Saccharomyces cerevisiae S288C: one gene and its partner. The gene in region 2 interacts genetically with the main gene of each other region. Each region holds a gene or a part of one and is shown on either strand. Other genes may lie near its edges.

Evidence for each region.
Region 1: mutations in ILT1 (region 2) and NAB6 together harm fitness more than expected from each alone (negative genetic interaction), as found in Saccharomyces cerevisiae (one large-scale study listed by BioGRID).

The regions. Positions count from the first base shown.
Region 1 is NC_001145.3:32,542-38,293, reverse strand, and holds NAB6 (Nab6p), read right to left. Parts: upstream 4,052-5,752; coding exon 647-4,051; downstream 1-646. Other genes in the region: ATR1 (borate transporter), read right to left, coding at 1-98; NGL3 (3'-5' poly(A) RNA exonuclease), read right to left, coding at 4,443-5,752. UniProt on the Saccharomyces cerevisiae protein: RNA-binding protein that associates with mRNAs encoding cell wall proteins.
Region 2 is NC_001136.10:624,375-627,658, forward strand, and holds ILT1 (Ilt1p), read right to left. Parts: upstream 1,625-3,284; coding exon 692-1,624; downstream 1-691. Other genes in the region: VTC5 (Vtc5p), read left to right, coding at 1-347; RLI1 (Fe-S cluster-binding ribosome biosynthesis protein), read right to left, coding at 2,334-3,284.

The DNA of each region.
Region 1 (5,752 bases), on a different chromosome or scaffold from region 2:
ATATTATTATCTCGTGACGATTTTTTAACAGGTAGTTCTGTCTCATTCTCATACTCACCCTTACTTTCCGTAAGCACAACTAATGACTGATTGCCCATTATTATTACCTGTTTGAGATTCTCTAATTGCCTCTCTTTTTACAATCGTACACTTTGAAAATGTTGTTTTAAACTTAGAATATGCATTTTATTCATTTTATAAAAACGTCTCATTCTTCAGACGTTTATAAACAACTGTAATAGTGTCAACTTTTATATAAAGGTCATCTTACCTGAAAAGTGTAAGTTCTGAAGGTAGAGAAGAGGTCAAGGCAGACAGGATCCTGCGGCTTGACGTCGTCGCTAACGAAACGAAGTAGAAAAAAATTAACAGGTTTGAGTCAGAGAAAATTATCGTTCCACATTGGTGACTCGGTCATTAAGACAACAAGTGCCGGCAATAAATCGCTTACGTAATCTGTGGCAGAATGAACAGGTTAGGTGCATAATACCGCCATTCCATTAGTAATCACTATATTATTTAGTTTATACAAAGAAATCGGAGAAAAAAAGGGAGAAACACCTTGGCAGGCCGCCTTAGGCTTCCTTGGGCTTTGTCTAAATAGTCCGATGGATATGCATTATACTTCAGGCTCAGCACAGCTATACTACTCGTCAGGATGCGTGTTGTCTTCCGCAGAGGCGCCCAAAATATTGGCTGCATACATAAATGTCGAATGTTGCACTTGTGCAAGGTATTGGGCCATGACGTCAGATCCTGGTATCGTTCTATGCCTTGCAAAAGATCCTCTCTTCTTCTTTCTGTTATTTGCTGTTTCGCCATTTGTGAAAATATCTTGCATTGGCGTTTCGTTGTTCTTCGAGTGATTATATGACAAAGTTGAGGGAGCTCTTGGAGGAGCTTGTCTTAATGACGACCTATAATTGAGCTGTGACATTCCTACGGCTTCTTCCTCGTCTTCTATCTTTACTGGTCTCTTACTATTAATGACGGTCTGACTCGAGCTTCTTAGAGTTTGTGATTTTAAAGCGTATTCAGGATCGCTCGGGGAGTGCATAATGACCTCGACGTCTGATGACGAGTCGGAAGATCCCGATGACTTGTTAAATATATCTTCATAATCAGTTTCATCCGATGTCGCACGTTTGACGTCAGAGCTCGCCACAGCGAGACCCAGTCCACCGAAACTTCCAGTCTCATTACCGTTTTCATTTTCAGCCTCTAGTTCACTTTCATTTTCATGCCCAGTATTATTTGCAGTTCCTGTTTCACCACCGCCGTTGTCCTTATGTGCGTCCAGACTAATTCCTAGGGATTCCAAGTTCAAGGGTTTATCAAAAGCCTTTTCCTTTTCATCGATTTCATTCTGCCTCCTCTTTTCTTCCAACTTACTCAAACGTATATTATAGCTCGGTCTTTTAACTTTCTTATAGAATCTTGAATTTTTACCTGCTATCAAATTTTTGTTTATATTGCCACAACGATCTTTGCCGTAGTTTATCAGAAGGCCCTTATAACGGCCACCGAATTTTTCCTCAGTCGCCCTTTTAAGCGTCACTTCACCGGATTCATTTTGTACTGTGGATTCCTTATTCATTTCTTCAACAAGACTAATCGCAGAAGATATATTCATGAAATTTATCCAACAGCAATGGCTATCACTCAAATAGTTAATCTGCTCAATATCACCATAGGTACTAAAGTCCTCTCTTAGTTGTTCCGCATCTGGTAAAGATAGTGTTTCATGCAATTTTTTGTACTGAGGGTCGTGAATAAACTTTTCCTTAAATGCAAACTCTGGTAGGCTTACGTAGACATTCCTACTTGCCCCGATCGTAACAGCCAACGAGATTAATTTCGGTAATGGACCAGAATAATGCCCCCATCCAACTCTCAACATATTCCCATGTAACACTATTGGATCAATAAATGAATTTGCATAGAACTGTACAGCGGATGGAGCTTCGATGAAAGTAACAAAGCATATCTTCTTCTCCGGTATGTACTTAATGCTCTGAAGGATTCCTCCACGCACGACATTACAGATATCCTCCGCCTTTGATCTTGGATTAATGTTTCCTATATAAATTGTTCTATTGCCTATGTCTGAACCCATGGATGATGCCACTTTGGCCGAAACGTTGAAATTTTGCTCCAAACTTTGAGTTATTGGATTCGGCAACACCCTTTGATTCATTTGCAAATTGGGGGATACCGGAGAAGGTGTGGCTATTAACTGTTGAGGTATTATCGCTCCATTGGACTGATTAGAATCATTCATAAACATATGTTCATTTAATGGCAAAGGTGATGGGATATCTTGAGAAAATTGCCTAGAGTTTTCTGTTGTCTTTGAAATTTTGACATTGCTCAAGTGAGTAGAGTGTTCTTCAATAGTTGGTGTTTGATAGTCGCGATAGTTGATTTCTAAATAAGTCCCATCAAGTTCTACCCCTTGAAGTTTCGTCGCAAGCATATCAATCTCTTCATTTAAAGATACAGATGATGACAGACTGGTTAAACTCATATTAGAGTGACCGTATACGGAAACACCAATACTACTATTATTATTGAGTGTGGTGATACCACTCATATTACTTTTATTATTGTTTCCGTTGTTGTTGCTATCGTTATTGTTCCCAGCAGTAACAGAAGGCACCGATAAACGATGTGTGCTCGTTTTACCCTCGTAAATATTAGCAACCGAAGATCTGGCTGAGCTAACTACCAACGGGGCTAGGGATACGTAAAAACATTTAGAAATGCCTAAGTTTTTGGAGTATTTTTTCAAATAATCGAGAACTTCAATAGCCATAGAGATATTCAAAAAGGTTAAAACGGCGTAATTTTCAGGAAATTGATTGGAAGGTACATCTGTGTTCACTAAATCGATAGATTCCAAAATGTATCTTTTGTTTTTTGACCTGTCCAAAAATTGTAATTTCTTTTTGAATAAATCGCTTTTCTCCACGGGGCTTTTGAATTCAATTATAATCGACCTTGTAGCATCTTTGTTCGCTATATTATGATGCAGCGAAGCACTGATCATTGTTGAACCATTGGTAATGTCGGCTTCTTCAGCGTTTTCTGTTAACGCTTCACTCTCAATAAAGGTAGGGAGGCATTTGGGATCATAGTTTAGACAAACAAATTTCAGATTTAGTGCTTCAGATTTCAAAAATGTTTTGAATTCAGATAACCTTTGTAAAATGTTATTGTAAAAGTTCAAACAGTCGCCTTTGGTTAGAAAGCTTATTAGAATGGATAGATTTTTAGTCTCTACATCTTTTGAATCATCGCTCTTCCCTCCTTCAATTAAGTAGGCACTTTCCAGAGTATTGGATTTGACAAAATTTTTGACTATAGAGTGTAAATCAATAGAATGATCCACATTTTCAATAAGCAGCGACCTAGTTCTATAAGCATCATCACCAGTCGGTAGAACCTTGTAATTAATACAAAAGGGTCTTTGTAAAAGCATTTCTGGAAGTATGTCGTCGAAAATGTTATTCCTTGCGAATGTTCTTCTTCCACTGTTGTTCCGGGTGTCGCACCCCTTATTGTTGTTGTGAGTAACATTCCTCGTACTGTTGTTGTTCCTCGAGAAAGAATTTCTCCCCATTCTATAATAGTTCGAGGGTGTTACCATTCCGTTATTAGTATTGTTTTGGTTACTGTTACTGTTTCCGTTGTAACCGTTATGATTAGAAACGGGCCTCGAATAAGCCTTTCTTTTGAGATTAGATGATCTTGCAGAATTATAGCCACTTTGCATGTTAGGCGAGGAAACAAATGGAGATCCCATCAATAGGTGAGATGGAAAAAGACTGGCACCGTATGCAGTATCAAAAGGTGTTGGTGGAATATTAGGTAATGGTGAGTTGGTGTAATATGCTGGGTGTTGAGAAGGACCATATTGGCCGGCACCGTTTACGAAATCAACAGGATGATACATCATTGGATTTCCCACCATGGCGTTCATCCCATTATAATCTTGCTGTTGACGGTATGCGTAATTCGCAACAGGTTTTTTTGAATTGGAATTTGACATATTGGAATCCTCAAAAAAAACAATAGAAAACGGATTCTTGCGAGTCTTGTTCGAGCCGATCAAAAACCCCTTCCTTGATAATATAAACGAACGACGTGAATGAGCCAACTACACCTCTTCAGTCTTTGGGATATCTTCTCTGGATGCTTTTCACGTAACCTGAAACAAGGAAAAAGGGCAGGTTTGTTGTGGTGTTTCTATGCTTGATTTTATTTTTTTTTTTTTAGCCCGTTGAGGCGCAACGAAAGGGGAAGGGTGACCAAAAATAGCACGTAAAAGCTGTGAATAAGGTGAAAGTGACGCTAAATTGAAAGAAAAATCCCAGTGACCATCGAAGCGTTGATTACTGTCTTTCAAACACAAATGTAGGTTGTTTATATATATTGTTTCTTTATTTTAAGCTATGCACTTTCTCCCCCCCAAAAAACAAGCGTATTTGGCACATTAGGGAAATGTGATCACTAGCATATTCTCCCTCGAAAGGTTGGGAGTGTTTGGGCATTTCTTGTGCGCACGGCATCCTCAGATATCCGATTATTTTTACGTTGTTATTTCCTTCAAAAGCATTCAGAGGCTCTTTCTGACGCGTGTCCTGATTATGATCACCCTCGATATAAAATATGTAGTCTAATAATCCACACCATGTATTGGCCCAGTTTGAGAGTCCCGGTTCGCCGTGGCTTCCGTTAGCATTTTCAGGATGCACTTTACCGTAGCCAATCCCATACAAAGATACGCCTTTCACATGTAGTGAATTATGCAACGCAACTAATTGATTTACCAGAGCCTTTTCTTCCTTTGTGGCTGTAAAGCTCTCTGGTTTTGGGTTTTGTGGTTGATCTGAATGGCCTTCGCCCCTAGACTTTTCATCACACTCTTCATCATCCTGGTCACTTTCTTCTCCATTCCTTTTTTTTGAATACCGATACGCTAGTGAGCATTCCACCATAGCTCTTATTGGGCCTTTTAATATCAGTGGTCTTTTCGTTATGGCCAAGTACGGTGGCTCTTCAGGTTCGGTATTGAAATCACCCATCAGTAGGCTATGCCAGCCATTATATTTGGAACATGCTTTAATTTCCTGGATCTTTTGTAAAACCAAGTAAGATTGCCTTAATCTTTCAAATACCCCAAAGGGATGCCAAAATAGGTGTGTATTTGCGACGATAATTCCTCTTGATGATGAATCTGTTATACCCTTGAAATATAGCGATATAATAAGGGCAATATTTTTAGTTCTTGTTCTTGCTGAAATGACATTTCCCGCCAATATATTATCGTAGTCCAGCATCCAATCATTATCTAACTGGAATTTTTTATTGTTCCATGCAACTAGTAGTCCATGAGTTTTCCCTTCATGCCTTTTGAAAATCACATCAAACCCTAACTTATGGAAATTCTCCTGCCAGAAGTTGAGTTCATTGTAATCGACCTCCTGCAACGATACTACATCAGGCCTGTACTTTTTCAATTCGTGGACCAAAACTTTTGATCTCTTATGCCACTTTAACGCTGGTCCACTTTCTGGGAAAAAATCTCTCCTAATCAAGGTTTGTGCTAGAGTATTATAGGTCATTATTTTAACGTCCAATGAATCTTGGGTGACTTGTATGGTCGCTGGCGTAAGACCTTTCGAATTATCATGGTTGATAGGGAGGAATGGTCTTTCAATGAATTGTAAGTCAGGCGTTGGGAAGTCAG
Region 2 (3,284 bases):
TAGAGGACTCACAATCTATCTACGAATATAGGCATGACGAAGTTGTTACATTTTTATACTTGTCTGCACTGCTAACATCTTGCATTATGGCAAGTGTATGTCTGGGAATCGTTTTATCCTTGTTTCGCGGGCAAAGTAATAATGAGATAGATTTAGAAATTCAAAATATTCTCATAGCCATTATTATCATTTCCTTACTGGTTTCCCTTATTTTGATCTGTGCGTGCCTGTTGTTGTTATTTAGTCGGTTCACTTTGGCGCCAATCTGGCATTATGTTGGTTGCTTCACAATGTTTTTCTCAGTTACTGGAACAGTGTGCTATGGTATGATTGAAATTTTCTTTTAATTATTTTGGACGATAAAAGTTTTTCATGTGTACAGTCTATATAAAATATGCATATCATGTGGTTACATAAGAAGAATGTTAATCTTGTTTGGAGATTTTGTTTTTGGAAACTTCGCCATTGCGAAGGGTGTTGCAAACTGAATTTCTGTTTAAGTTTTTAATTAATAATCCTTATTTTGATCTTTTCTGATGGCCGTGTTTGAACGCATAGTATTGTGAATATAAGCGAAGTGAAAACCTTTACACCTGCGGCAGATGCCATATTACTGCGCTAGTGGTGAATATTATTAAGCGTGCTATCAAAAAGAGATGAAAACGTGCTAACTAAAAAGGACTCAGATTCGTTACACACTTAGCCTCGAATAACGATCAGGATCTGTTCTAACCACAACTCCATGGACAGCATGCAATGTTTGGGCTCTTGATAACGTCCCCCCATCAGTACTATCGTATATATTAAAATCGTCTGCAAAGCTCGAAGCATCGTCGGGGATTGAACAGTTATCCAGGTTATAGTTAGTAACATTTCGGTCACTCTTGCTAATATCTTGTTCGATTTTTTCATCGGGTTCTTCCTTTTGAGCTTGGCCACTTTCTTCGTCAAAAGTATTGCCTTTAGCTAGGAATCTAAACCTACACCACCATATGAAATGAGACGCGAAAATTCCTAACTCCATTCCAGCAACTATTGAGTATAATATAATACCCATAATATCCATATTACCTAGGATAACACTGATGATAGATAGCCAAGCACCTAATGAATCGATGAATAAGAAGGCAAAGTTGATGCCAATAACACGACCTTTCCTTTTGGCTAGTTCAAAGTAAGGTGGAAGCAGTCCGACAGCTAACAAAACAGATGCAGAAATACCAAAAATCAGATCGGGCCATTTAACACCCTTCTCGTAAAGGGGCCTCAGCCATAATATAAAGCCAACTTCCATGCCAACATCAGCCGCAATAATAGCAGCTACAATCATTACTATTTTGGATCTCGCCATACTGATTGGTGGATAATAACACGATTGGACGAAACTTATAGAACAGAAGAACATAAAAAGGTGTGGTTGAACTTGTAAAATGACATTACCTTTACTAACACAGAAATATATGGCAAATGGAATTCCGGAAACAACCCAGAGGAACATCATCAGTGGTGGCAGCCCCGTACAGTCCTTTTTTTTCCAATTATATATTATTTGCGGAATTAGCTGGACACACCAGCAAACTGTTGCTATAGTAGCTAAAGCGGTAGCAGCCTTTTCAGAGATCATGAATACCTTATTCTTAAATCTATGTTATGTTATAGTATTCCACAGTTTATATTTCAGCGGTTAATTTGAAAATAGAGATCAGCGGAAAGTAGAAGGCACCAGAAGGAAAGCATTATTTATATGAGTTTCGTTTGGTACGAGAAGTGTGATACAGAGGTAATCTACCTATCTAGTCATTGAAAAATGCTATCAAGAAACGGCGTTCTCATATTACCCGAAGCACCTTATCTGGCGCTCACACCGCGGAAATAATTGGGTGATATTTTAGACAAACGGACTTTAATGTCATGCTAAGATAAACGTTCAGTAATGCAGCAAATGCTTATCATGACGACTCGTTTACAAGGTAAATTCGATTACGAAGAAGGTGCGGACAAAATAACGATTAATTAAAATACAATAGGTATATAAAATAAATAGAGAATAAATATAGTGTAGTTGCTTTACAGAAAAATGAAATAAACTGGAGTACGGATCACCGAAGAGGAGGTTGTTCACTTTCAGGTTATGATGTAATGAAGGTGGGAAGTTAGAAATGTATTAGTTGGCGTATATCTAGAAATAAACAACCCGATGCTTGGGAAGGAACTCAATGTAATATAATACTCATTTTGTTTTGCAAAAACATTATAACTCTTAATTATTTCTCCACATTTCTAAACCCAAAAATAAAACAATCGTCCTCTTGGTTCTCCGAATCCCAAGATGCTTAAATACCGGTGTTATCCAAGAAAAAGTAGTTTCCTGATGATTTTTGTTCTTTATCCATTTGGGAATCTAGCTTATTAATTCTTGGTCTGAAGGAGTTTGGATCCCTTCTGAAGGTGACATTCAAATTCTTCAAAAATCTGTTACAACCAGTCAACAAAGATTCAGGGGCTCTTGCGTGAGCATTCTTGGAAGGAATACCTTCAAAAACAATGACCTTATCAGCAAGATAAGTAGCCATGATGAAATCGTGCTCGACAATAAACGCAGTTTTCTTATTATGTAAGATGAATCTTCTGATAACTTTAGAACAGATAATACGTTGTTCGGAATCTAAGTAGGCAGATGGCTCATCAATCAAGTATATGTCTGCTGGGATACCCAATGCCAAGACGATGGCGACTCTTTGTAATTCACCACCAGACAAATGTTGGACTTCTTGATCAATAATATCGTCAATCCTTAAAGGTTTAACGACATCAGTCTGAAACTGTGGATTTAGGAATTGTCCTCTAATTTTCTTGAAAAACAATTGTCTGACAGTACCTGGGAACTTTGGTGCAATTTTTTGTGGTTTCATAGAAACATTCAATTTTGGAATATCTTGTCCTTCATCTGGCTTCAAAGCACCAGCTAGTAATTTGATCAAAGTGGTCTTACCGGTACCGTTTTCACCCATCATAACAAGGATTTCGGAATCGGAGAATTCACCTTCTTCAACATTCAAAACAAAATCACCTTGAGTTTTCTTCAAACTTGGGTAAGAGAAGGCGCGACTAGCAGAGTCATTCTGCAAGTCTTCGGTAGCATCAGCTATTCTAAATTGTAAAGCTTCAGTTCTGAATCTCAGGTTTTCAGCAGGAATATGACCGTCCAAGAATATGTTGATACCTTCTCTGACAGAGGCTGGTAATGTAACAACACCGTAAACAGATGGAACACCATATATGAT